Astyanax mexicanus: one gene and its partners. Each later gene encodes a partner of the first gene's protein in a complex. Links are inferred from orthologs where the notes say so. Each region holds a gene or a part of one and is shown in the gene's direction. Other genes may lie near its edges. The genes, in order: mios, wdr59, castor1 and seh1l.

Region 1 (7,019 bases):
ATATATATATATATATATATATATATATATATATATATATATATATATATATATATATATATATATATTATTTTATATTATATTCCATTATACTATATTATATTATACTACATTCCATTATATTATATTGTAATATATCATATTATATTATATTATATTACTTTATATTATATTATATTATATTATATTATGCAAAAACAACACTGGAAAATAACTTAAAACTGTGTTACATAGATAGATAGATAGATAGATATATAGCTAGATATAGATAGATAGATAGATATATAGCTAGATATAGATAGATAGATAGATAGATAGATAGATAGATAGATAGATAGATAGATAGATAGATTGTTATTAAAATGTTGGTTATTTAGCAATTGTCATTGATATAGTAATAATTTTGCAATTGTTACCATAAGCACCAGTACCATTTTTTTCACAACATATATGTATATATAGATAGATAGATAGAATATTATATTGTTTTATATTACAATACATTATATTATATTATACTATATTATATTATATTATACTATATTATATTACATTATATCATATTAAATTGTATTATATTATATTATACTATACTATACAATATTATATGTTATATTATGTTATATTATATTATATTATATTATACTATATTATATATTATATTATATTATATTATGTTAGATGTTGGTGGTCACGTGACTGCAGTGTGTTTGGAACGCGGAATGTTGATGACGTCGCTGCTGCTGATGATTTACACACAGTTACAGTACAACTTAGTACACTACATTGATTCCACCTGTATAACACAAGGCTAATGAATGATTAGCGACCCATTTCGGTCACAGTTTGTGAAATGTAGCACTCGGACTTAAAGAACTCATATCTTTAGGTCCATTTGCAGCATTTATTATGATTATGTGAGGAGTAAAGTGTACATTAAGAAACATTAGCAGTGTTCACATAATCCACAGTGAGGGCAAATCAGTTTTCCATGATATGAAACCTTTAATCCACACTATTAATACAATTTATTCAACAGTATTAATTATCCTTTTACTTCAGGTGGCGTGCTCCCTTAAGGAGTTTAACCAGTATGCAGACTACCAGAAGTACACTAAGCCAAAACAGCAAGAGCTTCTTCTCCCAGACGTGGTAAGTCAGCTTTTAATATTCTCAAAGAAAACGCAGATCCTTAAAACATCTTAAATTAAATTTAAAATTAAATGAAAATATCTTAAATCAAATTACCAAATATTAGAAATGCAGCAGACAGTCAATTCAATTTCACTTTAATCTCCTACTAAAGACAGTAAAGAGCTGAAGCTGATATTTACAAAATCTAAATAAAAAAACAATTTACTTTTATTCGATCAGAAGAGTGGGATCTGAACACAGAGTGCAACCCTTCTACCAAGTGGGCGGGGTTTAAACACAAGACTAAATGAATCACCCAAATCTTAACATGTGTACTAATTATTAAAATCCAATACTTTGTTTATGAAAAATGATACAGTATCGCAAATCAAAATATTGAAATACTTATTTTTAATGATTTATCTACAATTTCTTGCAGAGGGTGTCTCTACCACCTGTGGAGGAAGTTGATACCTGCACTCTCAGGTTGGAGGTCACCTCACCCAAATCTGTAACAACAGAGGAACCTTCAAAGGATGACATCCCAGTTGGTAAGTAACAGAAAACGCTAAATCAGTATTTCTTGATCTTTACACTGCAACTGCCTCCTCCAGTCCCCTTCATGGATAAAAGCATCACTAAAGTTCCCTCTTGAGTGGCAAAAAGAGACAAAGTGCCATTTTGACTGCCCTTCTTGTGTAAAGTGGCCACTAGAGTGCCCCTTATTTCAGTAAACTATGATGATGTGCTCTTTACATAAAGGAATTGCTATAATGTGTCTTACTGAGTGCCCAACTATGGATGCTCTTCTGCCCTTCTGGTAGAAAAGGGTGCCTCTATTATTATTGTGCCCTTTACACATCCTAAACCCGCCACTGCTCATGACTGTTAAACTGAGTTCCACAATTTAATACATTCATAATAAAATATTGTCTTCTTTTCTCTGCAGGCCCAAAAAAGATCAAAGTCCTGGCCTTCTTCAAGAAAGCATGGAAAGCAGTGAAACGGCCGTTACCAGGAGAAGCCCCAAGATTTCTCCTGACAGCTAAATTTCCCCATTTTCACCCTGTTTCTATTTTTTACTTTCTATCTTCTATCACTTCTTTATTTATACTTTTCTGTATTAATGAAATGATTTGGTCAGTGTAATCCTGTAGACTAATTTATGAGCTGAGCTCCATCGTTACAGATGTTGAGCTTCTAGTATAACAGAGTTTTAGTGCAGTTGACCAAAATAACCATAGTGGTCACTGTCTAATGTCTAATTGGCTGTTTAGTATTAACTGACTATTTCAGCTCCATCATTATAGATGTTGAGCGTTTGTATAGATTTAATTCGGCCCAGAGATTTAATCAAAACATAAAGATTAATGCATAGATTTAATTCGGCTATAAATTTAATATCATGCAGTTTACCCAAGTTCGGGAGCAAAACAACACTGTATGTTGTCTCTTTGACTGCTCAGTATTTACTGATAATCTAAGCTCCATCTATATAGATGTTGAGTTTTTTTATATCAGTATATTTGTGCAGCACACTGAGCAGCAGACATCCCACTTCTCCCGTGACTTCGGTCGGTGATTCTAGCGCATATTGATAAAGAGCCCCTGATGCCTCCAAATCATCTACAATTTGATTAAGAGATGCAGCTAAAAGTAAGACTGAGAGTGCATCCTGATTGGCTGCTGCTTGTATTTAGAATTATCACTGAGCTCTGTGAGCATGATTTAGGCTCCACAGCTAATATTGAATTTAGTTTAGAGGGGATATCTGGGCACAGGTAAATTCATTATATATTGTATAAGTACTGTAGATGATTTGCAGGCATCAGGGAGCCACTATATAAAAACACTGTATATGTGGTCTTAAAGTGACGTCATATCATGAATTAGTCATATGTGGTTTAGACCAGAGGAGGATGGGTCCCCCTTGTGAAGCCTGGTTCCTCCTGAGGTTTCTTCCTACAGGGGAGTTTTTCCTCACCGCTGTCGCCTCGTGCTTGCTCACTTGGGGTTTTGTAAAAATCACTAGACTAATAAACTTGATGTGACGTCACTTTAGAGAAACCACATAACAGCAAACTTAGCCCTGACCAAATCATTTCATTATATACTGATTCTTCACCCCCCACCCCACCCCCCCATTGAAAAAAAATCCAATTGAATCATTTAATTTTTAATTTCTAATAAAATTCGAAAATTGAGAAATATTAATGCTGTGGTTATTTATACATTTGTGTTCTTTCAAACAAACTTTTTTTCATTTGAAAATAAGATTTTATTGACATATACATCTAGACAACCATAGACACTTAGGCTAGTCCTGAGTATTGATCAGATGTGGGAATTTATGAGGTATAAGTACTGAGTTACTGTAATTACCAAACTATGCTGAAGTTTGATTCTTTAATATGATTTAAATTGTTTCTAAAAGGATTTAAACTAGTTTAATGTGAGAAACTGACAAATACCATCAGAAGTGCCTGACATAGAAACAGGCTCTTAGTGTTAGTCACATGTTCAGGATAAAGACTCTATCTATCTATCTATCTATCTATCTATCTATCTATCTATCTATCTATCTATCTATCTATCTATCTATCTATCTATCTATCTATCTATCTATCTATCTATCTGAGGTGGGGGTCTATCTATCTATCTATCTATCTATCTATCTATCTATCTATCTATCTATCTATCTATCTATCTATCTATCTATCTATCTATCTATCTATCTGTCTGAGGTGGGGGTCTATCTATCTATCTATCTATCTATCTATCTATCTATCTATCTATCTATCTATCTATCTATCTATCTATCTATCTATCTTCACATAGAACAGGGGCGGTGGGACTTTTATTTTGAAAGCGCGCTTTATTTTCTAGGTTAAAAGTCCTGCTCGTATTCGCAGCAGCGGCAGAAAGTTGACGGAGTGTTGAGGCAGTAAGTTTGGTGTTTGGCTGCGTGCGCGGTTGTGTTTAGATGTGGGTGTGAATAAACCGCGCGGTGAGGGCTAGGAGTTCAGGCTCCGGGGGAACGACGTGGTTCTGTGGAGCTTTATTCACCCGAAATGACATGTAACCGTGTAGCTTAGTTTAGCTAGGTTAGCTAACCGGCTAACTAGCTTTAGCTGACAGTTAGCCCATAGCTTAGCTTAGCTTCGCTTGTGTCAACACTGTCACAGTGCAGCAGCAGCAGCTCTCTCTCTGATATGAAATTTATTTATTACGTTAATTTCGCTACTTAACAGCTAGTTTTTTTACCTCAGGATTGTAAGTTACTAAATGCGAGTTACAGAACTGTAGCAGTATAGCTGCTGAATTGACATGTTAGTAGTGGGGTTGTAGTTAACCTAAGGTTAACTGCCTTTAACCAGAGTTAAACCAGATTAATGACAGTTATTTGTAGTTTTACTTAACGTACTTTACAATAAGAAAACAGGCTGCTGAATGATTTATCTGGCCTTAAAAGGATTGTCAGTTTTGAAGACTATGTCTGGAGTGAAACAACGTAGTACATACAATTTAAACACAATTAAAACGGATTATTCCTAGATATTGGAGGTATTTTTAACTCCAGATAAAAAAAAAAAGAGTCTACATATTGATTTAGTTAGTTTTTATTGTGATATTTACTTATTGGACAATGAGTAAAGTGATAATGAGAACTATAAAACAATTATTGCAGGTATAATTTGCGAAGGATTCTAGGTTTACTTGTCGAGACATAAAAAAACGTTAGATCATGTTTGGAATGAGAAAAAACAATGAGAAAAGTAAAAATAAAAACTCATAAAATAAGTATTAAAACATAGATTTTGGATATGTTATTACTTTAGAGAAAAAAAGAAAAACAACAGCCTTAAAATTGATTTTGGATTTCTGGACTAAAAAGTGTTTTTATAACTTTTTAGACTATATCTGGACTAAAGTAGTGAGTCGTGCAGAAGAATGCTTAGCTATTGTCAATTGAAAGTCACATACATTTGTAGTGAATAGTTGTAGTTAGTTGTAGAGGTGGGCGATATGGTAAAAATGATATATTGCCCGATTTAAAAGCAATTTAATGATACGTGATGTATCACCAATTTTTTTTTCAATTCTGCGTACAGTGATTTTTATTTATTCTCTATTTCCTGCACTAACTTTTGTAATGAAATGTTCAGCAGGACAATATTTATGAAGCACTGACCGTGTTCAAGATAAAGTCAGTTACTATAAAGCATTGTCATATTGCCCGCAACTAGTTGTTGTAATGATGAGCGGTTCCAAGCCAGATATCCTGTGGTCTCCACATCACGCGGACCGCTATGTGATCTGCGATTCCGAGCTCAGTCTCTACAGAATTGGTGCTGTTGGGACTTCAGAGGCCAAAGCTGGAGCGCTGCCGCTGTCTCAGGAGACGGCAGCCACTTTGCTGGCCATCAACTCCGACACCCCGTACATGAAATGCGTGGCCTGGTACCCGAAGCACGAGCCCGAGTGTCTGCTGGCTGTCGGTCAGGCCAACGGCAGAGTGGTGCTCACCAGCCTTGGCCAGAGCCACAACTCCAAATGCAAGGAGCTGGTGGGGAAGGAGTTTGTGCCCAAACATGCCAGACAGTGCAACACCCTGGCCTGGAACCCTGTGGACAGCAACTGGCTGGCAGCTGGTCTGGATAAGCACCGGGCCGACTTCTCTGTCCTGATCTGGGACATCAGCAGTAAGTATTCTCCAGAGGCCGTGCCGGCCGAGAAGCTCCGTCTGTCGGGGGATGCCGATTCCGGGATGGTGGTAACGAAGCCTCTGTATGAGCTGGGGCAGAACGACGCGTGCCTGTCCCTTTGCTGGCTGCCTCGAGACCATCAGAAGCTGCTACTGGCTGGTATGCACCGCAACCTGGCCATCTTCGACCTGCGCAACACCAGCCAGAAGACCTTCGTCAACACCAAGGTAGGGATATAAAAGAGTTCAGGTGTTGATTTTGGATTTCCCAAAAGCTTCTTACCACAAAGGTGATTCTCAGGCTACGTTCACATTACAAGACACATTGCTCAAATTAGATTATTTGCTCAGATCGGATTTGGCTATTTTGATAGTTCACTTTCACAAAAGTAAGTGATCTTACAAAGCACAATGCATTTAAAACAGCAGTGTGCTATTCTAATCATTAATTCATCTCAGCAGTGCTATTCTTATTACAGTTACCTCAGGAGTCCTATTTTAATCATGAATGTACTTTATACTGTTACCTCAGCAGAGCTATTTTGATCATGATTTTACTTCAGAGATGCTGTTCCTATCATGCGTTAACTTAAATTAAGCAGTGCAGTTTGAGCCTCTTTATTGGAATTTATGGGAGCAGAATGAATTGCACACAGCAGTGCTCTGATAAGCAGCGCTAATGGTAGCAGTAAAGAAGGAGCTTGGAGTTTAAGCCTTCTAAATAAAGTTATGTAATAACAAAAGTTTGGGAGAAGGACCACGCCCGCACTCCATGCTCTAACTCCACTCCCTATTAATCAACCGCCCTATAAATACCTGCCCTAAATAACTACCTAACTAATATAACTTATGACGTATAGATAGACATTTTTTTTGTGGACGAAATACTATCCCAGAAATCGTTGCTATAAACGATATATAAACGTCACTGACTTAATGATAATAGTACAGCATAAAAAAGCAATTATTCCCTTTTAAAGGCAATGTATACTCTTTCCATTAACTGCTGCAGCCCAAGATTTTGATATTCTTCAAATATATGATCGATTGTCGATTACAATTATGATTTTTAGAAAAAAAAAATTCTAAACAAACAGCTCCATTTGAAGTGATGTGCAAGCAATTATTTCCAAAATAAAATAGGATTGATTAATCAAATTACTGTTTTAATTCAAATGAC
Region 2 (7,973 bases), on another chromosome or scaffold:
CTGTGCTGTCCACTGTGGGTGATAATGCCTTCTATGACGTTTTAACTTCAGCAATGTATTGTCCCATCAATCTGGTGCCAACTATTTCAGGCCTCACTAAAACTGCACTAATTCATATTGACTTGCTACTTCACTCACAAGATAGCACCTCATAACCTATCCCATGACTTTTGGCAAGTCATTATAAGCAGTCAACTTAAAAAGGTTTGGCATGGATTGTGTCTAAAAAGTTAAACTCCCACTCCCCAGAACATTAATATACAAAATGGATATGAATACACTGCCTGATAGCAGAAAGGTTTTTAAAAGCTGATACCTAATAAAATGTATATATTTTTTACCACTTACTACCATTTTATCATTAATACTAAATGTCATATTTGTGTACATTAATATCCAAATATTTTATTTATTTAGCAATTAAACTGGTTATATTTGCACTGCTGTCATTGTCCAGTCACCACCAAGGCAAATAAAATATCAGAATTGATACGTTTCAGAACACCAAACTCACTCCCCTTTACTTACATCTGAATGTATGAATTCTGCAGACATGTATTCATTATATCTGTGAAAATTACAATTTTCTAAAATAATGATAACTTTCCTGAAATGCACTCATACTCACCAACAGATCTAGCAAATCAGCTTCGATGCTAGGTAGTGGGGTCCTCCAAAACTGGAAACTATTAAACTCTGAGCTCTCCGCAGCATTAAGAACACTTGGCTCTGCTGCACTGTGAACATCAGTGCCTAATTTGTTTGAAGATTTCTGGAAATGAAAAAAAAATAATAATAATTAATTAATTAATTAATTAATTGATGAGATGCCTTTAAATTAAAGTACCAGTTAAAAAAGGCAGAACAGTTTTACTTTAGAGGGAAGGTGGAATCCAGCAACATTCACCGGGGCTTCTGGGTGTCTTTGTGTGCTGCATACCTCAACCTAAAGTTTAAGCAAAGATAAACTGTGTAAACTTATCTGCAGCTTTTTAAAATGCTATTTTAAATGAAGTATGTTTAAATATGCATACCTGTGCTGCAGGTGCTTTCCTCAAATGTTCTGCCCCAGCATTCTCCAATTCCAGCTGGTAGGTTAAAGCTAAGACCTTGATGTCTGTTGCTGAAAGGCTGGGGTAATCTCCTGTCTTTTTGGCAAATTCAGTGACTGTAAAATAAAAAGACAATTTTAGCATGGAAATACATTAAGTTTCTATAGGGAATAATGATATTCCCTATGAATGCAGAAAAACAGATTGAATCCCCCTGGAAATGATGAAAGGACGATTTTTTTAGGCATGCAAGCTAAATATAATTGTATTGCCATGACATTAAAAAGCAATCTACTGTTCTCAAACAAACATGGACAGTGACATTAAACCAAGTTTATACTTACATTAAAAACATACATTAAGATACATACAGATACAAAACATACATACAGAATTGTTGGAGGAAAGTGCGGCGACTCGGTTCCGATACAACAGCTCATAGATGCCTTGTGCTGATCGACATCACCCTAAGAATCGTGTGGAGAGAAAGCTCCATCCATCCACCCACCACCCACCCAGAGAGCGCAAGGCCAATTGTGCTCTCTCAGGGCTCTGCCAGCTGATGGCAAGCTGCATGTCCGAGATTCGAACCAGCGATCTTCTGATCAGACCGCTAGACCACTCAGTGCCCAAAATTTCACTATACTTACTTAACATTATATTACTTATTTTTATTTTGTTTATATTGTGTTTTTGTCATTAAAATAAACTATGTATGTTCCACTCACCTGCACACCTGTATTAATGTAAGTCTTTTCATGACACACAAATATTTAAAGCAATGTTTTGCCGCACAGACATCAGTGGCAGATTCTTACACACATGTATTCAGAGACTCATTTAATTTATATTATAGTGTGGGGTTTTTGTCATTTTGTAAACAAAATGTCTTTTTTTTTTACTCTCTTTAAAATGTATAATAAGTGATAGAATGAAATATCGTCATATTGTCTACCTCTGTAAAGCTAAATTATATTTCTTTACATTTTCTAGTGAAAATGTTGCTGATGTGAATACTCACCAAAGCGCACATGCTCTGGGAATGGGTCTTTATAGATGAGCTGGTAGGGTAGGAAGGCCAAGTTCCTTTTGGTTTGTTTATCCCGGATTTCATTCACAACCTCCTTCAGAGTGTAAATATTCTTCCCAATCTCCTAAAACATGGAGAACAGAACAAACATGTCACTTACAATTAGCCATAAAACACACATACATAACAGAGCCATGATATACCCTGATATAAGAGTAAATGCCATAATATCACTGTAGTTATTGTGGATGGGAATCACAGACCATCGCACTTTAACGATGATATAATAATACTGGGATTCTGTGGTACTCAATATATTACAATGATACTACATATCAATATATCGATAAGTCACTTAATGGTATCTGTGTTACTGAAGAGGATAAAACACTTATTTTATGGGTATATGTTTGAGTATAATAAACAATGATGTTTTATTCTAAGGACAAAACTTTTCCCAAATTCCAAATAAAAATATTGACATTTAGAGCATTTATATTTTTTTATAATTACTTTTAACTGAACTGAACAGGTTTTCGAAAGACAAGCAACTAATAACATTTTTACATTATAATTTCCCAAAACAAACAAACAACAAAAAACAAAACACCCCACACTATCAACCCCATCCCATCCCTAATACCAATCTTGAGCTGCCTTATGGTTAAAAAAAAAATTGGGTTCCAAATTTTGTAAAAGTTTTCCGTTGATCCTCATTTAGAGCATGTATTTCCAGAAAATGAGAAATGGCTGAAATAACAAAAAAAGGATGCACAGCAGTTTTTGTGCATCTTGGCATGTTCTCCTCCACCAGTCTCACACACTGCTTTTGGATACTTTATGCCACTCCCGGTGTAAAAAAACATTTCAGCTTGGTTTGGTGCCTTGTGATCATCCATCTTCCTCATGATTATATTTCAGAGTCTCTTATTTTTTCTAGTGCTGTATATACACAAACCCACTCAGAGCCCGTGCTCATGCCCACCTGGAGCCAAACTACCCTTATTCCACCCATGTGAGCTCCAGATTAGTATACACATGTTGGCAAAAAAACAAGTTTTATTACATTAGAAAACTAGACAAATTAGTTAGCGGCTTTATTATTAGGCTAGGCTAAGCTAAGCTACGCCATACAGCTAGCTAAACACGTGTAACACAAAAAAAGCCCCTGTGAGACTGGGAATCTGGTCATCTGACCATAAGCTGGGTATTTTACTATAAAACAGTGTAAATGCGGAGTCTCCCAGCCTTTAAACTCACGTGTAAAGGAGCTTTTCTCAAAAAAGCTGCAGCATCAGCCACAACATGCTCCACCGTGGCCGCTGCCATCTTCAACGCTCACCCACATCTCGCGAGAACACACAAACACGGTCATCATCTCTGGAAAAGAGAACATGTACTTTAGAGAATGTGTTCTGAGTTTGTGAGACCATTAGAGGGCGCTTCCGAGAGAGTCAAAATGAATGGGTTCAAATGGAGCAATTGAGCAAAATCAGAGTTTATAAATGTTTGATCACTTTTGAACTGGAAATTGTTCTCATTTCTTCAACACAGAACATTATCAGATCTAAAAACTCCAGTTATAAACCTTTAAAAAACACTCTCTGGCTGTGTCTTCATCAGAGATCTGGTCAAAAAGGCAAATTATCTGGGGTTGTACTTAAGTACTAAAAGACTGTATCTTTACTGCAGTATTATAAAGCTTTTTCTTTGTTCTCCTACTTCCACTTTTACTTCACAAAATATTTTCCATTAGTTTAATACCTTTATTCCAATAAAAGTATAACAAAAAAAACAGAAACACCACATCATCACTTACAACACCTACAACACATTCAATACCTACACCACCTTCAACATCTACAACACATTCAATACCTACGCCACCTTCAACACTTCAACACCTCAACACATTCAACACCTACAGCACATTCAATACCTACACCACCTTCAACACATCAACACATTCAACACCTACAGCACATTCAATACCTACACCACCTTCAACACCTCAACACATTCAACACCTACAGCACATTCAATACCTACACCACCTTCAACACCTCAACACCTTCAACACCTACAGCACATTCAATACCTACACCACCTTCAACACCTTAACACATTCAACACCTACAGCACATTCAATACCTACACCACCTTCAACACCTTAACACATTCAACACCTACACCACCTTCAACACCTTTAACACCCACAATACCTTCAACACCCTCAACTCCTTCAATACCTTCAACACCCTCACCACCTCCAACACCTTCAGCACCCTCAAACCCTTCAATACCTTCAACACCCTCACCACCTCCACCACCTCCACCACCTTCAGCACCCTCATCACCTTCAATACCTTCAACCACCTACACCACCTTACACACTCTCAGCACCCTCACCACCTTTTATACCTTCAACCACCTCCACCACCTTCAGCACCTTCAATACCTTCAACCACCTCCACCACCTTCAACACCTTCAGCACCCTCACCACCTTCAACACCTTCAGCACCTTCAACACCTTTAACACGTTCACACCTACAAACACCTACAAATCCTCCACCACCTTCAACAGAAGTAATGCTAGCTTGTCTACTGCCTAAAACCGGTTTACTGTAGAACAATTTAAATACGCAGGCAGATTTTTTTAATTATTTGGTAAAATACTTTATTATACTTTCTAAAATTAAAAGAAATGTCCAGATAAACAGTTACAAAATATTTTTAGTTAGAGGATTTTGCCGATTAGCTCAATTCACCCCATTCATTAATGTCTCCCTCGCGGGCTCCCTCTAGCGCGTGCAGTCATGTACTGATATAACTGTGGAAACAGGAAGTGGGCAGTCTCGCGGTAAAGCGGCTCTGGTTTGTTGATGTTTTTGTCGGGGGCATCATGGCGGCCCGCTGGACCAGTGAGAATGAGGTGGTGGAGTTTAGGGACGCTCAGGTACAGAGTTTAGCTCGTGTTTATGGTTTAGACTGTCCTAAATTCTGCTATAGCTGCCCTTCTTTCCTTGTGTTGGGATACAGACAATGACAGGCTGGTGTGAGCTGTGTGGCTGTGGAAGTTCAGGAGCTAACTAACCTTACTAAAGCTGCAGACTGCTTCTTTATTCATTAATTCAAACCAATTGACTGTATTAAATTCAAATGTACTCAGTTAATCTAATGCTGTTTCAGCTGCAGAAAAACCTGAAAGAGGATATAAGATATAATAAGCAATGAGAGTTCTGTATAGGCCTGTAGTATAGCTAACTACAGTATATGAGTCATGGCCAAAGTGTGCTGTCTTTAAAATGTAAGTTAAAACCCATATATTATATAGATGTATTAAACACAGAGTGATCTATTTTAAGCATTGATTTCTTTTATTGTTCATAAATATGGCCTACAGCGAATAAAAACCCAAAAATCAGCGTCTCAGAAAAATAGAATGTTACAGTATATAAGAACTATTGGTACTTTTGGCAGTGTGCCAAGTCCTGCTGGAAAATGAAATCAGCATCTTCATAAAAGTTGTCAGCAGAGGGAAGCATGAAGTGCTGTAAGATTTTGTGGGAAAACAAAACTGCACTGACTTTGGACTTGTTATAACACAGTTGATCAACACCAGCAGATGACATGACTCTCCAAACCATCACTGACCAGAGTCTGGATGAAGAGTGGAGAGGCACACAAGCTGCTTGAGGTCTAGTGTGGAGTTTCCACAATCGGTGATGGTTCAGAGAGTCATGTCATCTGTTGGTGTTGATCCACTGTGTTTTATTATCAAGTCTAAAGTCAGTGCAGTTTTTTTTTCCCACAAAGTCTTACAGCACTTCATGCTTCCCTCTGCTGACAACTTTTATGGAGATGAGGATTTCATTTTCCAGCAGGACTTGTCACCCTGCCCACACTGCCCAAAGTACCAATTGGTCTTATATGATATTCTAATTTAAAATTTAGGGTGGGTTTTCATTGGCTGTAAACTATAGTCAACAATAGTCAAAAATAAAATAAATGAACACTTAAAATTGATCACTTTGTGTGTAATAAAACTATATAATATATAAGTTTCACATTTTCAACTGAATTAATTAAATAAAGTAACTTTTCAATGATATTCAAATTTTTTGGAGATGCATTAGTACACTGATATTAAAGTAATTTTACAGTATTTAATAAATTTTCTTCATTATTCCAATGCTGTTTCAGCTTTAGTAGAGGCAGAGAGAGGTTAAAAGGCTGTAATAAACAGTGAGAACTGTAGTTCGTATGCTAGATGAGTAATAGCCAAAGTGTGCTGTTTTCATTCAGTTGCAGTAGGAGTGAGTACACTGATATTTAGGTTGTTTTACAATAGATTTTTTTAGTTAATCTAAGCCTGTTTCAGTTTCAGAAGATCCAGAGAGAGGTTAAAAGGTTGTAATAAGCAGTGGGAAGTCTGTGAAGACCAGTTGTATAGCTAATAACTAACTAGCAAGATAATGTGAAAGCCTAGATCAGTGAGGAATAACTTTATTACACTTCATTTCATCTCTAATTTCCTGTGTTTGCGTTTTTCTCAGGCTACTGCAATGTCAGTGGACTGTCTCGGACACCATGCTGTTCTGTCTGGGTGTGTACTGCCTCACCTGCATGTGGAATGTCCTCTGAACAATCCTGCCCTCATTTGTCTTTATACACACACACACACACACACACAGAAACACACACACATAGCTGACCCCTACACTGTTTTTGTTGTTCTTCATTTTAACTATGCTATTGTAATGTGATTAATATTTTGGTGGTGAAATAGTAAAATAAATTGATTAAAAAACTAATTGAAAATGTGAACCTGTTTTAGGAGACGCTTCTTGTATGTTGTGAACTTGGAGACTCCTTCAGAGGCTCCCCGAAAAATAGGTCGTCAGAGTAAGTGGGACGTTGGGACTGTGCAGTGGAATCCTCACAGAGCAGAAGCTCATCTGTTTGCTGCATCAGTAAGTGTGAATGTGTATCACAGTTAGGAGGGAGTTTAGTGGCTTAAACCACAATAAAAACATTCTGGCTGTAGATGAGCTACTATGGAGGTTTCTTGTAATAATACTACCACTGCCATCTAAGAGTACACACTATCCACTAGTCAGCAACTGTGTTCACTGGTTGGCAGTGTTGGTGGGAGGACAGCCTAAGCAGTAGTGTGTTAAAAAACATCCATGCACAGGCAGGGGAAAAGCAGAGCAACATATTCTGTGCTAAACCCAATTCACTTTATTAGTGTGGACTAGGGGTGGGTGATATGGCCCAAAAATAATGTCACAATATTTCAGGGTATGTTTGCAATGATGATATTCAAAATTTTTGCCAATTTTATGGCATACAATACAATATAGCACACCCCTAGTGCGGACAATTTGCTCATAATGAAAGAGTTAAACTTACTATAATGTAAATTATAAAGCTAAAGGAGGCTTAATGAAATATTAAAGTGTGTGACCTTTTATTTAAGGTAGTGTATCAACAGAATACTGATTGATTTCCAAATGCCTATTCTTTTTACAGTGATTATTAGGGCTACATAATATATTGTTTTTATATCTTTATCGCATTGTATGCATGTGCAATAGTCATATTAAAGACTATTTAAAGACTATATACAGTTTAACATGGCAAAAATTAAGAGCTAGGGTATCTTTCCATTATGAGAATGATTTGGTTTAATTACATTCTTAGTGTCTTTAGTATTGCACACTTTAGTGTATTTTTTACCAATTTAAATGACAAATGTCACTATAAGCATTTAAAATACCTTGTCAATACATACCTTTAAACTGTTTTGGACCACATGGACATGTGGACTGTACGTGTACTCTGTACTATTTAATATACTTTCTTTGCATGCCTGTGTTAGTGCCTG
Region 3 (7,385 bases), on another chromosome or scaffold:
GCCATTTCAGGTTAATATATCTAATAACTGATGGACACAGTAATATTTCAGGATTGAAATGAGGTTTATTGTACTGTAACAGAAAAAGTGCAATATGCATTAAACCAAAATTTGACCGGTGCAAAAGTATGGGCACCCTTATCATTTTATTGATTTCATAGCCAGGTGTATCCAATCATGAGAAAAGGTATTTAAGGTGGCCAATTGCAAGTTGTTCTCCTATTTGAATCTCCTCTGAAGAGTGGCATCATGGGCTCATCAAAACAACTCTCAAATGATCTAAAACACATGTGTCAAACACAAGGCCCGCGGGCCAGATGTGGCCCGCCACGTCCTTTTATGTGGCCCGCGAGAGCTTGTAAGATCTTAGTGTCTATAATAAATAGGTCAGAAGCGTTCTTTGACCAAAAACTACATTTCCCACAATGCTTGTCGATTGTATTACCCGCGAAGTTATGGCTTACTGCCACTACACGGCAGTGTAGTCATTGATGTGGAAACCCTGCTGGAGGGAAGGTGTAACTTCGCGGGTGGAAGTGAGACATATAAATGTTTATCCCATAATGTCCAGAAAAAGAAAAGTTGATGCAGACGGACGGCTGTGCTTCAAGGCGAAAGACCGGTATGCCTTTTGTGTTACGAAGGGTGTTTCTGACCAAAATAAACGCTTTTTAGAAGAGATATAATAGTTTTAATGACGTTAATAAACATCACAGTGACAGCGCTAGTCGCAGTTTCACCTCAGCAAAGGACGAGCACGTGAATCACTTATCTAACCAGCCTTTACTGATTTCAGCCCCCAATAACCCTTTCAATAACCTCCAATAGCCTTTAATAGTCTTCAGCAGCCTTCAACAGTCTAACCTTGCAGCCGTGGTGTGTCCACTAAACTCCGTAGTTATAAACATCCTGAGGTTAGCAGCGCGCTAACTGACCTGCTTTTAATGTAATCCGAGCAGTGCCTCCGTGACGCTGCTCTAAACTGCTGCTGTTAGCTGCTTGGGCTGAAAGATGAATTGTAGAGAGCTGTATTATCCGGTTAGTGGGGTTAAAACCTTTATTTTCTACACAGAAGAACTTAAACATTTTAAAAACGCTCCAGACTGGCTCAGCTGAGCCCTGTACCTGTAGCCCGTGACTGGGCTGTAGCTCTGACTCAGTAAAGACTGGGCTTGTGGTGCTGCTGCTGCAGCTCCCACTAGTGGTTGGATGAGGAACTGCTAAATCTGAGGAACTGCTAAATCTGTCATCTATGTTCTTAACAGCTCACAATTTTTGATTTTATATATATTAAGTCTTATTTCAGTATCAAACGTTTTGATCAAAGTTAATATAACTTGATGCCATTTCTATTCACTTGAATAGTTTGGTTCTTGATTGATGGAGTTTTTGGATTTCATAACATGAGGATTTATGTTAATAGAGCAACAAGCAAACATTTTTTCCATGCAACTGTAATATTTGATTGAATAAATAATATATTGAGAGTTATTTAACATTAAGGAGTAATTACATTCATTTTATATTACATTTGGTTACATTGTATTACATTTATAAGTTACATCTGGCCCTCAGAGGACAGCCAATATGCCAATGTGGCCCTCGGCCAAAATGAGTTTGACACCCCTGATCTAAAAACAAAGGAGCCTAGCGCATCCCAAATTTATTAACATTATTTTTCCCCCCTTACATTACTTTTACTTTTATACTTCAACTTCTCTGGACAGTATAGAGAGTATAGTTACTCCAACAAAAGCAGGATAAACTAAAAGTAGTAGAAAAAATGAATTAGCAGCTGTCCCATTACTTTTGTCCATATATTGTTTGTGCTGAAACGTGTAGTTTGAGAGATTTAGCCAAGCAGTTGGCTCCATCTAGTGGAATATATCTTCACTGCACATCAAAAATTGGGCAATACTAGTGCATCTCAAAAAATTTGAATATCATTGAAAAGTTCTTTTATTTCAGTAATTCAGTGCAAAATGTGAAACTAATATATTATATAGATGTATTAAACACACAGAGTGATCTATTTGAAACGTTTACTTCTTTTGTTGTTGATGATTATTATGGCTTACAGCCAAGGAAAACACAAACAATCAGTGTCTCAGAAAATTAGAATATTATATAAGACCAATTGGTACTTTTGTCAGTGTGGGCAGTGTGACAAGTCCTGCTGGGAAATGAAAGCCACATTTAAATAAAAGTTGTCAGTAGCAGAGGGAAGAAGCATGAAGTGCTGTAAGATTTTGTGGGAAAACAAAACTGCACTGACTTTAGACTTGATAATAAAACACAGTGAATCAACACCAGCAGATGACATATGTGGATTTCATTTTCCAGCAGGACTTGGCACACTGCCCACACTGACAAAAGTACCAAATTGGTCTCATATAATATTCTAATTTTCTGAGACACTGATGTCTGGGTTTTTTTTATCAGCTGTGAGCCATAATCCAATCCATAATAATACATCTATATAATATATGAGTTTCATATTTTGAACTGAATTACTGAAATAAAGTAACTTTTCAATGATATTCTATTTTTTTAGATGCACAAGTGTAATTACTCACACTGTCTCTGTGTTATTAAAAATCTACAACCTTTACCATTTTTTATTAAACCTTTTAATTAACTGAGACACTTTCCTTTACACAGTGCCTTTAATTCAGAATATGGAGTCCAGGATTTTAATTCCTACTAAGAGCTCACCTCTGCAATAACACAGAAGACTGCAGGAGACACACAGGAGACACACTGATGAAGATACTGGTGGATCTTCAGTGGATTCTCACTTATTCTGGACCAGAATGTATATCCTGAAATAAGCAAAAAAGAATAAATGTTAGTATTTGATTTATTAGCATTTGATATTTGATGTAAATCAGCAGTATTTGTTCATATTTGATGTAGAATCAGCAGTATCAACAGTATCAGCAGTATTTCTGTTCATGGCACATTATGTTTTATATGAATTATGTGTAAAGTGTGTATAATGTATAATGTAATGAATGTAAATGTAGTATTTCATGATATTATCATGATGCAAAGCTCTGCAGTGACATCAATTATGATCAGTTTTTAAAACATACACATTTAGTTAGTTTTATTGACTTTTGAGTCTGTGTTGTATGTACAGTATGTGATATGTTTGCAGGCTAAAAGTGGCACAGAATGCATCTGTGCCACTTTTACCACAGTGGCACAGAATCATTTCAACTCTTGTACATCCTGATCTGGAATACTGTGCTTATGTACAGTTTTCAACCCATTACCATTGTATTTGTTATAAATTAAATTAAAAAAAGGAAGAAAAACATTGAATGAGAGGGTGTGTGCAAACTTTTTAATCTCTATGAATTCTAATTTATCTTTTTATTATTTATTAATTTATTAATTTATTATTTTTTAACGTACCCATGGCATTTTGCAAAATGTTGACAGTTTAAGAACAATATCTATAAAAAAAATTAAAAAACATCCATTTCAACATAAAATAAATTAAATTGCAAAAGTAATTGCATAAAATAAACAATAATGTTTTTTAAATTTTAGGTATATTATTATTATGATTATTATTATTATTATAACTTTTACTGTATTATTATTATTATTATTATTATTATTATTTAATTAAACATCTCAAAATGTTTTTCATTTTACATTTTCTGAAAGACAAAAAAATTGTATTTTAAAGTAACGGGTTTTATATTTTCTGTATTATTATTATTATTATTATTATTATTATTATTATTATTATTATTATTATTATTATTATTATTATTTATACACCTTTTACTATATACTACTACTACTACTACTACTAATAATAATAATAATAATAATAATAATAATAATACTGCTATTTTATTTACGATATAATAATAATAATAATAATAATAATAATAATAATAATAATAATAATAATAATAATAATACGTTTTATGTATTATTTAATTATTTGTTATTATTTTTTAACATACCCATAGCCAATTCAATAATTCAATATCTCAAAATATATATTTTTTACATCAAGTAATTATTATTATTATATTATAATATTATTATTTACATAACTTTTACTATATTATTATATTTTTATATAACTTTTACTATATATATATATATATATATATATATATATATATATATATATATATATATATATTATATATGACTTTTTATATATATATATTATATAACTTTTTATATATTGTTTTATATAAATTTTACTATATATATATATATATATATATATATATATTTATTTTTTTTTTATTTTTTTTTTTTTATTAATATAATTAGTAGTATATTTTTATATAGCGGCAGTGTGAAGAGTACCGGTACCGGGGCGCTGTAGCTTTAAGGCGGGGTGGGGGCGTGTCCGCTGCTCGGTCTCTCAGCGCAGTGTTGCTCCAGGGTCGGATTTCCTCCAGCGGGTTTTTCTCCTCCTGAAGCCGCCCTGCAGCTCTCTCTCTCCCGGCAGCATGCCCGCCGAGCTCCCGCTGCACCGCTAGCTGAGTCCCGCGGTCAGGGCGCGCTGTGTTCAGAGGTAGGAGGGATCTGAGTAGCGGTTAGAGTCTCCAGCAGCAGCAGCAGCAGCAGCACGCGGCTTCCTGAGCTCAGGACCTGCCATGGACCTCCACATTCTGGCCCACAGACTCAGAGTCACCAGTATCAGCAAGAGCGGACTGCAGAACTACACCCACCCCCTCATAAAGCTCATCTTCCTCAGGAACAGGACGAGGTAGGTTCTATTCCAGCACTGCTGCTGGTGATTACTGGAAGCTGGCTCATTTCCCTGTTCTCCCACTTTAACCCATGTGCTGTTTTAGAAAGGGTTACTAGATCTTTCCTCAGCCTTCTCCAGCTCATTTTGCATTTGCACCACTAGGGTGCATGTTCATAGCCCAAAACCACTAACATTCTCACTCTCTTGCAGTCTGATATTATTATGTTTTCCCTTTAACATGCTCTACTAGAAGATCTAGTCCCCTGGATTCTTACAAACCTCAATGTTCAGACTCATTTTGCCTTTGCACAACCAGGATGTATGTTTTAAAGCCTGTCTTCTCAAGCTTATTTTGCCTTTGCACCACTAGGGTGCATGTTTATGTTTTTTCCCCCCAAACCGCGAACATGACTTTCTTGCAGCCTGTTGTTATTGTATTTAGGCCCTTTATTATGCTTTTGCTAGAAGATTTACTAAATACCTTAGTGTTCAGGCTCATTTTGCTTGTGCACCACCAGGATGCATGTTCATAGCCTGTTTTCTGTAGACTGATACAATAAACTTCCTTGTAGATATATATGTAGATATATATACCAATGTGATTCTCTCTTGCAGACTGTTATTATTATGTTGTCCATCTACATGCTCTACTAGAGGATCTGGTCTGCTGGACCCTCTCAAACCTCAATGTCCTGGCTCGTTTTGCCTTTGCACCACCAGGATATATGTTCATAGCCTGTTTCTGTAGACTGGTACTAATGTGACTCTCTTGCAGCCTCTTATTATTGTGTTTTTTCCCTAAGCTTGCTCTACTAGAGGGTCTGATCTGTTGGACCTTCTCAAACCTCAATGTCCAGGCTCATTTTTCCTTTGCACCACTAGGATGCATGTTTATAGCCATAGAACCAATAATGGCAGTCTCTTCTTTAAATTCCTACAATTAATGCCCATGCACCACAAAGTTATTATTAGGTTTAGACCCTTTATTATGTGCTACTACAGGATCTGATCTGCTGGACCTTCTTAAACTTCAGTGTCTCCACCATTTTGCCTTAACACCACTAGGGTACGTGTTTGTAGCCCTAAAACTACTCACAAAACTCTCATGTAGTCTGGTACAGTGAGTTTCTGTGCACCACCACCTTATCATTAGGTTTAGGCCCTTTAGCATGCTCTACTAGATGATCTGATCTGCTGAAACCTCTCAAACCTCAGTGTTTAAGCTCATTTTTACTTTACACCACTAGTATGCATGTTCATAGCCTGCCTTCTGTAGACTAGTACAACCAATGCCCATGAACCACCATGTTATTATTAGGTTTAGGCCCTTTAGCCCACTCTACTATGGGATCTGATCTACTGCAACTTGTCAAACCTCAATATCCAGGCTCATTTTGCTTTTGCACCAGTAGGGTCCATGTTTATAGCCTGTGTTCTGTAAAGTAGTAAAATCAATGCTCATGAACGATCATATTATTAGGTTTAGGCCCTTTAGCCCACTCTGCTACAGGATCTGATCTACTGGCACTTCTTAAACCTCAGTGTTCAAGCTCATTTTTACTTTGCACCACTAGTATGCATGTTCATAGCCTGCCTTCTGTAGACTAGTACAATCAATGCCCATGAACCACCATGTTGTTATTATTAGGTTTAGGCCCTTTAGCCTACTCTACTATGGGATCTGATCTACTGCAACTTCTCAAACCTCAATATCCAGGCTCATTTTGCTTTTGCACCAGTTGGGTCCATGTTTAAAGCCTGTCATTTGTAGAGAGTACAATCAATGCTCATGAACCATCATATAAATAGGTTTAGGCCCCTTAGCCCACTCTGCTACAGGATCTGATCTACTGGCACTTCTTAAAACTCAATATTCAGGCTCATTTTGCTTTTGCACCAGTAGGGTTCATGTTTGTAGCCTGTGTTCTGTAGAGTAGTACATTTTAATGCCCATGAACCACCATGTTATTATTAGGTTTAGGCCCTTTAGCCCAATATGGGATCTGATCTACTGCGACTCTTCAAACCTCAATGTCTGAACTTATATTGCTTTTGCACCAGTAATGTCCATGTTTATAGCCTGTGTTCTGTAAAGTAGTAAAATCAATGCTCATGAACCACCATGTTATTATTAGGTTTACTCCCTTTAGCCCACTCTAATATGGGATCTGATCTACTGCGACTTCTCAAACCTCAATGTCCGAACTTATATTGCTTTTGCACCCGTAGGGTCCATGTTTATAGCCTGTGTTCTGTAAAGTAGTAAAATCAATGCTCATGAACCACCATGTTATTATTAGGTTTAGGCCCTTTAGCCCACTCTGCTAACGGATCTGATCTACTGCAACTTTTTAAACCTTAATATCCAGGCTAATTTTGACTTTGTACACTAGAGGGCATTTTCTTCTTAATAATTTTGGTTTCGGAGTTTTCTATGAATCCCTTTTTACTAGATCTTTTTCTCAAGCCTTAGAGATGTTCAGGTTTACTGTGACTTTGCACTATTAGCTAGGATTTATGCTCATCATTTATGCCACAGAACCACTAACACCACTGTCACCACTCTCTTCTCTGGCTTGGTAATACCATCAATGCCCCGTAACCACCCTGTTATATTTAGAGTAAACTTCCACTGGAAGGGAAGTGGCTG
Region 4 (7,219 bases), on another chromosome or scaffold:
GAAACCATGCAGCAGCAGCCTCCTAGCCTGCTTACGCAGCGGATAAGCCGCGGTGTAGGGCAGCAGAAATTCCGGGATGAAAACACAAAGAAATCTGGGGTGAAAACACAAAAATCCGGGATAAAAACACCCAAAATCCGGGGTGAATATGTCTTGTCGGTCAGAGCAAATTGAAAATTTTTCAGTGGATTAAAGGGGCCGTGATTTCCTTTTTTTTTTTTTTTTTTACCTCTTATTTTAAAAACGAATATTCGAATATTCGCTTCGAATCAGTGCCGAATATCCGGAGCTCAAAAAACGCTATTCGGGCCAGCCCTACTAAAGTAAAAGTATTTCTGGATACGCCACCATTCATCTCTGTAGAAAAGTTTATTTTTATGTTTATAAACTTGAGTATTGGGTGTCAGTGATCATTCATTTTTATTTGATTTTTTTGCTGAACTAGTCCTTTAATGTCATTTTCTCATGCCAGTACAGTTACAGTATAGAAGACACTGCACCTAAAACAGAAACCATCAAGTAAAGCTGATACAATTTATTAGAAAAAACACATTTATCCATATTTACTGTTAAAAAATATTATATAATATTAATAATTTTAATACACCTGTGGCCATAGATCACAAATTAAAAACATAAAACTGGCTGACTGTCCACTGCAGATGGATACTGAAAACACTGAAATATTATTTTGATTAGAGCCTTAAGAGAATGACAGGTGTTGCACCTTATGCTGTAATGAAATTCTGTAACTTGTATTAGTTTCACAGAGAACAATTCAGCAAATCATCTCCTAGTTTTGTAAAACAGTATTACACAGCCCTATGAAACATTATATTTTCTTTCTGACTACAATTTGCCCTGTTGTCTTATTAACATTACACTATAAATCATCTTGCACTTTAAATATTAGGAAGGTGTTGGTTATGAACAAGTTATCCACGTTTATTTAACTGCGTTTCAGAGCAGAGCAGTTTCTGCAAATAACTGCTCTAAATGACAATATTTTTATTAGAAATTTGGCACGAATTGTTGTCTGAGTAAAATAAACATTGTTTTATTCTATAAACTACAAACATATACCTATAAATTGCAAAGTCAGAGAAACTGATACAGAAGCTGAAGTGGTCTCGTATTTTTTTCAGAGATGTATCTTCTAGCGTTAGCTATCTTAGCTTAGCTTAGCTAATTCACTTTACACTAGCGCTACATACACTCCATGAACATAGTTTTAGCTTAGCGTAGCCAGGTAGCAAAAGTACCAGTCAGCATGAATTCAGGATTAATGACACTGAACACTAAATCAACTGGCGGTATCATTGGACATGTTCTTGCCTTAAAGTTTGTGTGGCGGCTGCTGTTGGGGGTAGGCTAAAGGCGCTAGCTTAGCTTAGTTTAGTCAGTTTCACTCCTTGAGAGATTTGGGAACTAGCTAAGCTAACGCTAGCTAAGTTAGCAAAGTTAGCTATGAGGCACATATTTAGGTTACGTTGCAGGTGTTTACAAAGGGAACTAATTTGGGTTAGTGCATTTCCAGTGGTATTTCATGCGACTGTAATGGTAAAATCCACACCGTTCACTATGGTTTTCGAGATGTTAGCGTTAGCTAGACAACATTGAAGGAGTTCAAAAAGGCAGAGGGGAAACGCTTTTTCATAAATTAATATTATACTGTGTCAGCAGGCAAACCGTGCAGTACCAAATATTTAGCTTGCTAGCCAGTATTGCTCATTATATTAAGGTTCACTGAGGATCCTCTGCTACCAGTGTGAGTAAATTACAAGTAGAACCTAGCTAGCGTTAAAGTTAACGTTAGGTGAACCTAGCTAGCTAGAGATAGCTAAGCTAACCTAGGTTAACCAGGTTAGATGTGTAAAATACAGTGTCCCGCTTTTCTCTTTCTTTCTCTAAAAACAGGAATTAACCTACATCTCAAACATGGATACATTCAATAAAACTAAACATTGTGTAACCTACTAAAGCTTAAAGCGATTTTTTACTATTTAGCTAGCTAGGCTAACGTTAGCTAACACATATCAGAATTTAGTTTGTTATGTACTGATATGTCTGGTTAATGCAGAGTTTACACTAAACAGTTTTAATAGTTAATAGCTAACCTAGTTAAAGTTTTAAATAAACAGTGCCCTGTCAATCATCTTAGTCTTCTTATAAACGTAGTTTGTAATAGAGAGCATGCACTTTGATGGCTGCAATTTGTTATTATGCCGATTCTCAGCATCTATATTACCTACCCCCTACCCTATCCCAGTCATCAAGTTTTTTATTTTATTTAGTCAGCCTTAATTGCGGTACACTGGAATGACACGCGTAAAAAACACATTCAGCTAGTACACAGCTGATAATGAAGATGTGGAAGTTGAGAGTAAGAAAGTAGCAGAATCAACAAAAACCCTTACATTTAGTTTTACACTGACATTAAGCTTAACTAAACTAAGTTAAATATCTCACTGTTCAGTAACTTAACTTACCTAGGTTAGCTCAGTACAGCTGACTATTTGAGAAAGTACTGCTAGTAGAGTAGAGTCACGCATGTGTATAATTTGCTAGTTTAATATTAAACTCAGCTATAAGGTTGGTTAATAAACAGAATTTTAATGCTCGAAAAAATATTTACCATGTAGAGGTTATGCCACCGGCCTTCTGAATCGATGTCCTGAAACTCGTGGTCCATTTCTCTGTTTATTCAGACTCTAGTCCGGTATAATAGAAAATAAACAGCCCTATCATAAAGGATCAGTCATTTCTACCGCCGACATTAAGCCACGAACATAAAAAAAATAAATAAAATAAAAACACACACGCACACACTCACTCACACACTCCACTCTCTCTCTCGGTCCGGGTTTCCCGTGTTTGACATCTAGCTGACTGAATTGCGCAGCAAATCGGCGCTCCATTTGCGCAGACCAGCGAGCAAAACAGAAAATAAAAGTACAACTCCAAAAAAAGAAAAAATACGTAGAATTATTTAGACACCAAACTCCAACTATCTGAAACTGCAATAGAAATATTAAAATGTGTATTTTTAAAATATATTTATTTTGACAAGAAAATACCTTTTAGCTTATACCGCTCCCAAAATATGTTAGCCAAAATATGCACTACAGCCGTTTGTTACGAATCAAATTATGTGTAAAAAGTTAACTAGAAGCACAAAGCAGGCACAAAACAAATTTAAACATTGAAATTTTTTTCATTTTAGTGTTTTTGCTCTTTTAATAACCATTACAAATAAAATAAATTATTTAAAATAGTAAGGGGATTAAATAAAAATATGTACTGTATATGAACTAATAATAAAAACAACTGATTAAAACATATTTTTTTTCTATATGCTTAAAGTAAACTCAATATGAAAGTTATTTACAGAGTCCAGAAACCAATCTTTTAAATATTACTGCGCCACTTTTCGCTTTGTGTAAAATCACCCCAGTCCAGCGGGTGGCGCCTAAACATTTCCAAAAGAATCTAAGTTGGAAAGTGATATAAAAATAAACATACATTTTACAAATGAAACTGTAAAAATAACGACAAAATACTCGTTAATAATAATCTTACACTTAAAATAAATGTTAAAGTAAAAATACAGTTCAATGTAATGTAACTAGTACAACCTGCACATAAAATGAAATGTACATGAAACAAAAAGTAAAAGTATAAATGAAAGTCCAAAATGTTGTGAAACAAAAACATAAACTAGGAAAAGTATCGAAATAGAGTAATCTATTTTTTTTTATTGGAAGACTTCTGATCTACAAAACTGTAGGGAATTACCAAATTGTAAGACAGCAATGTATTATGAAACAACACATTTACTCAATTAATATACAAAACATAACAATAACATAACAGAATGAATTATAAATTATAATATTTATAAAGCATTATTGAAAACAGGCAATAACAAACTGGCAATAAAAATAATTAGTTCACTTCATTAGTGTGGTTATCTTTATGTAAATTGTAAGGATCTTTAGCAATTTTAGATTTCATTGATTTTAGGGAGTTGAATTTCTTTATGGTAGCATATAAAGATGTGTGGTGTTTTTTTATACGTTAAATCAATAAAGCATTGATTAAAAGCTCCACCTTTGGATATTCTACTATGACAATTATTGTAATATTAGAGTCTAGATTGTGGAGTTCAGACCGAGGCGCTGTCGGGCTGCTGTTGCTCCTCCAGTCCTACTGCTCTGAGAGCGGCGCTGCTGAGTCTCTGACTGGCAGGAAACAGCAGTGAGCGGTAAAATGGCGCATTGCTGAGCGACCCGCCAGAAGTGAGCAGAAACATTAAAAAGTTTAAAGCGGTGTTCTGTATTTACTCTGTTTCTGAGAGCGAACAGGGATTCAGTGTTTTCACAGCGATCAGGAACGGAGAGTAGAGGAGCATGTTTGTGGCGCGAAGCATCGCTGCAGATCACAAAGATCTGATCCACGATGTTTCCTATGATTTCCACGGCAGGAGGATGGCGACCTGCTCCAGCGACCAGAGCGTGAAGGTAAACACACCCCTTCACTTTATTCACCTATATTCACCCCCCTTTTAACTTACCATATGTATGGAATGCAGCCAAATTTTACAGAGCATATAGGTACCTCAGAATGTATGTTGTTAATGCTAAAAGCAGAACAGAGAAGAGCGAAATTCATCGTTTCTAAAAATGAATAGCTATATTCGTTCTCACAATGTTTTTTGTTAAACAAAAAGGTGACAAGAGTCTTCACATTCATTTCTAAGGTAGAAGTATAGATACTGGGGTTTAAAGTACTTCTGTAACAGTTAGAAGTTTTAACTCAAGTGTAAAAGTAATGCTTTTAAAACTACTTAAAGTATAAAAGTAATGTAAGGGGGGAAATGCCATTAAGGACAAAAGTATAGGTTGTGTTATAGCAGCCTATAGTTAACTACTCCCTGCTCCCCAAAACACATTTTTGTAAAAGCCATAATGACTATAATGTAGGGGTGTGCCATATCGTATCGTACGTGATAATATCGCCAAACATTTTGCCCTGAAATATCGTGACATATCACCCACCCCTAATTATCACATTAGGGTGCTCCTTTTTGTGCTGTTTTTAGCAAAAGAAAAATTCACACTGTTCTCATTTCGTATTATATAGCTACTAGAGACAGATTAGATCTGTCCAGTATAATTTATTTTACTTTAATCCTGAATATTTGGAGTGCATTATTAGTATCATGACATTCTGGATCATTTACTTCTGTTATAAATCTGATAAAATAATATATATATATATATATTTTTATCTTAGTTAGCCATATCATATTGCATGCAGCTAAATATTTTTTCTAATTTAGTGTTTTGTCATATCGCCAAAAGTATCACTATCGTGAAAATACCATGAAATATTGTGATATTTTTTTAGAGCCATATCGCCCACCCCTACTATAATGTTATATTGAAATGTTAAAGTTAAAAATCTTGAGATACGCATATATGCCCATTAAAATAGTTGCATTTAAGTGCATTTTGAATATTTTCAAGTAGCTTAGGTAGGACAGTTTGGTCAAGTTTGTTTATTTATTTATTTTATATACAGATCATCTTCACACTAGATGGAGAGAGTTATAAGGATAGGGTTTTTTTTAATGATGAGAAGCCAGAGGGAAAAACAAGCTGAAATTAAATATGAATAATGAGGCTATTTTAAAAATGGAAGGAGTAGAAGTAAAAAGTTGTTTAAAAAATAATTACTCCAGTAATGTATAGATTAGAAATTTCTGCATAAGTAAGGCAACAAAGTATTTGTACTTCATTACTTGAAACCTGTTAGTTTATGGGTTTCTGAAGCATATTTCAGTAGATTTGTAAAGATAAATATTACTGTAAAATCGAGTAAGATCTTTTAAAATATGATTAACAGAAATGTTTGTCTTGCTTGAAGGTTTGGGACAAAAGTGACGATGGAGAATGGCATTGCACAGCCAGTTGGAAGGCAAGTTTTTAATTTTACTACCTTTTGTTCATATCTAAAAAAGTACACAAACCTACAGATTGGGTATTAAATTATGCACAAGTTATGCTTTAACAGTAACATTGGGTTTGGTTTCTGTTGGTTTCTTTTCAGACCCACAGTGGCTCAGTGTGGAGAGTGACGTGGGCTCACCCAGAGTTCGGACAGGTGCTGGCGTCCTGCTCTTTTGACCGCACCGCAGCAGTGTGGGAAGAAATAGTCGGCGAATCCAACGACAAACAGCGAGGACTTAGTCACTGGGTAACACATCTAATAATTTACTCATTTATAGTAGCAGTCATTTTGGAGCCTGAATTGTGTCTGCACTGGTGTTCACATTACAGTAACATTTGTAGTACAGTGTCATAAAACAAATAAGCAGGTCTGCTGGAGATTCCTTTCCAACAACTACACATGGTTTGAAGTACATTTCTAATGATTTGGGTATGATGCTGTATATTAGGATCTAAGCTTCCATTTTTTTTCTTAGATACATTAACCTCATAGTGTAAAGAACCGTCCAGCCTTCTCCCATGTTTTTAAAGCTGTGAATAGAGATAAGGTGTGTAAACTTCTTCTGCAATGCTTTACAAGTATAAATACGAAATTGGGGTGCTGAGTGGTCCAGCGGTCTAAAGCGCTGCCACTATGACCGGGAGGTCGCCGGTTCGAAACCCCGCTCATGCAGCTTTGCCATTAAGCTGTCGGCGCTTAGAGGGAGCACAATTGGCCCTGGCCCTGCTCCTTCTGGGTGGGTAGATGGCGCTCTCTCCCCACATCATTCCTACGGTGATGTCTGCAGCACAGGGCGTCTGTGAGCTGATGTATTGCCGAGCTGGCTGCTCGGCAATGCTGCATCAGCAGCAGCTCGAAAAGAAGCGGTGGCTGACTTCACATGTATCGGAGGAGGCATGTGTTAGTCTTCACCCTCCTGGTGTGTTGGGACATTACTAGTGATAGGGGGAGTCCTAATGAGTGGGTTGGGAAATTGGCCATGTAAATTGGGGAGAAAATGGGGAAAAATTTGAAATAAAATTATATTAAAAAAAAAAAAAAAAAAATTGTACAGTAGAGCTCTCTGTGATGTTTGAGATTTGTCACCAGTAGTAAAATACAGCGGTCTGTGATGAATGCCATTTGCTGGTTTTAGTATTGAAATATTGATTTCATGTCCGTAATCAGTACTGATTAGAATCTCATCATGCAGATCAAGAGAACAACT

What was found.
Region 2: the proteins of mios (region 1) and wdr59 are in contact, whole or in part, in a cryo-EM structure (PDB 7UHY), measured with the Homo sapiens proteins. The link is inferred for Astyanax mexicanus from reciprocal best matches to the Homo sapiens genes MIOS and WDR59. Residues at the interface, in NP_001357005.1 of Homo sapiens: Asp705, Trp710, His711, Arg713, Ala714, Ile718, Ser721, Lys728, Pro729, Leu730, Ala731, Gln732, Val733, Phe734, Val735, Ser736, Cys737, Asn738, Phe739, Ile744, Lys780, Pro781, Leu782, Pro783, Leu787, Cys788, Leu789, Gly793, Pro795, Gln819; in NP_085058.3 of Homo sapiens: Tyr871, Arg876, Glu877, Arg879, Ala880, Glu881, Leu883, Lys884, Pro889, Pro890, His893, Lys894, Gly895, Ile896, Glu897, Phe898, Gly899, Val900, Tyr901, Arg906, Glu908, Val909, Arg910, Thr912, Phe922, Gln923, Ala925, Ile926, Cys927, His928.
Region 3: the proteins of mios (region 1) and castor1 are in contact, whole or in part, in a cryo-EM structure (PDB 9LVK), measured with the Homo sapiens proteins. The link is inferred for Astyanax mexicanus from reciprocal best matches to the Homo sapiens genes MIOS and CASTOR1. Residues at the interface, in NP_001357005.1 of Homo sapiens: Ala83, Asn84, Val109, Pro110, Lys111, His112, Ala113, Arg114, Asp134, Lys135, His136, Arg137, Asn184; in NP_001032755.1 of Homo sapiens: Val94, Ser116, Thr117, Tyr118, Gln119, Thr120, Asp121, Thr188, Tyr236, Leu255, Thr256, Ser257, Ser258, Ala295, Tyr296.
Region 4: the proteins of mios (region 1) and seh1l are in contact, whole or in part, in a cryo-EM structure (PDB 7UHY), measured with the Homo sapiens proteins. The link is inferred for Astyanax mexicanus from reciprocal best matches to the Homo sapiens genes MIOS and SEH1L. Residues at the interface, in NP_001357005.1 of Homo sapiens: Arg279, Arg316, Ser317, Phe353, Glu354, Arg355, Ile356, Ser357, Leu358, Ala359, Trp360, Pro362, Leu366, Met367, Trp368, Ala369, Cys370, Gly371, Arg372, Leu374, Tyr375, Glu376, Cys377, Thr378, Glu379, Glu380, Glu387, Asp389, Ile390, Ala391; in NP_112493.2 of Homo sapiens: Met1, Phe2, Val3, Ala4, Arg5, Ser6, Ile7, Ala9, His11, Lys12, Asp13, Leu14, Ile15, His16, Asp17, Val18, Phe20, Phe22, His23, Gly24, Arg25, Met27, Trp47, Ser173, Ser174, Ser175, Asn230, Leu231, Gly232, Arg233.

Annotation. Positions count from the first base shown.
Region 1 is NC_064408.1:116,461,559-116,468,577, reverse strand, and holds the start of mios (GATOR complex protein MIOS), read left to right. Parts: upstream 1-4,014; 5' UTR 4,015-5,389; coding exon 5,390-6,067; intron 6,068-7,019. UniProt on the Homo sapiens protein: As a component of the GATOR2 complex, functions as an activator of the amino acid-sensing branch of the mTORC1 signaling pathway. The GATOR2 complex indirectly activates mTORC1 through the inhibition of the GATOR1 subcomplex.
Region 2 is NC_064416.1:13,643,303-13,651,275, forward strand, and holds the start of wdr59 (GATOR complex protein WDR59), read left to right. Parts: upstream 1-4,954; 5' UTR 4,955-4,985; coding exon 4,986-5,039; intron 5,040-6,639; coding exon 6,640-6,689; intron 6,690-6,920; coding exon 6,921-7,056; intron 7,057-7,973. Other genes in the region: RNA-binding protein NOB1, read right to left, coding at 629-772, 875-946, 1,035-1,168, 2,074-2,206, 3,343-3,411. UniProt on the Homo sapiens protein: As a component of the GATOR2 complex, functions as an activator of the amino acid-sensing branch of the mTORC1 signaling pathway. The GATOR2 complex indirectly activates mTORC1 through the inhibition of the GATOR1 subcomplex.
Region 3 is NC_064429.1:31,870,070-31,877,454, forward strand, and holds the start of castor1 (cytosolic arginine sensor for mTORC1 subunit 1), read left to right. Parts: upstream 1-4,371; 5' UTR 4,372-4,637; coding exon 4,638-4,750; intron 4,751-7,385. Other genes in the region: nipsnap1 (protein NipSnap homolog 1), read left to right, coding at 2,662-2,726. UniProt on the Homo sapiens protein: Functions as an intracellular arginine sensor within the amino acid-sensing branch of the TORC1 signaling pathway. As a homodimer or a heterodimer with CASTOR2, binds and inhibits the GATOR subcomplex GATOR2 and thereby mTORC1.
Region 4 is NC_064410.1:33,194,232-33,201,450, forward strand, and holds the start of seh1l (nucleoporin SEH1), read left to right. Parts: upstream 1-4,218; 5' UTR 4,219-4,409; coding exon 4,410-4,520; intron 4,521-5,928; coding exon 5,929-5,979; intron 5,980-6,111; coding exon 6,112-6,258; intron 6,259-7,204; coding exon 7,205-7,219. Other genes in the region: ptpn2b (tyrosine-protein phosphatase non-receptor type 2), read right to left, coding at 2,636-2,692. UniProt on the Homo sapiens protein: Component of the Nup107-160 subcomplex of the nuclear pore complex (NPC). The Nup107-160 subcomplex is required for the assembly of a functional NPC.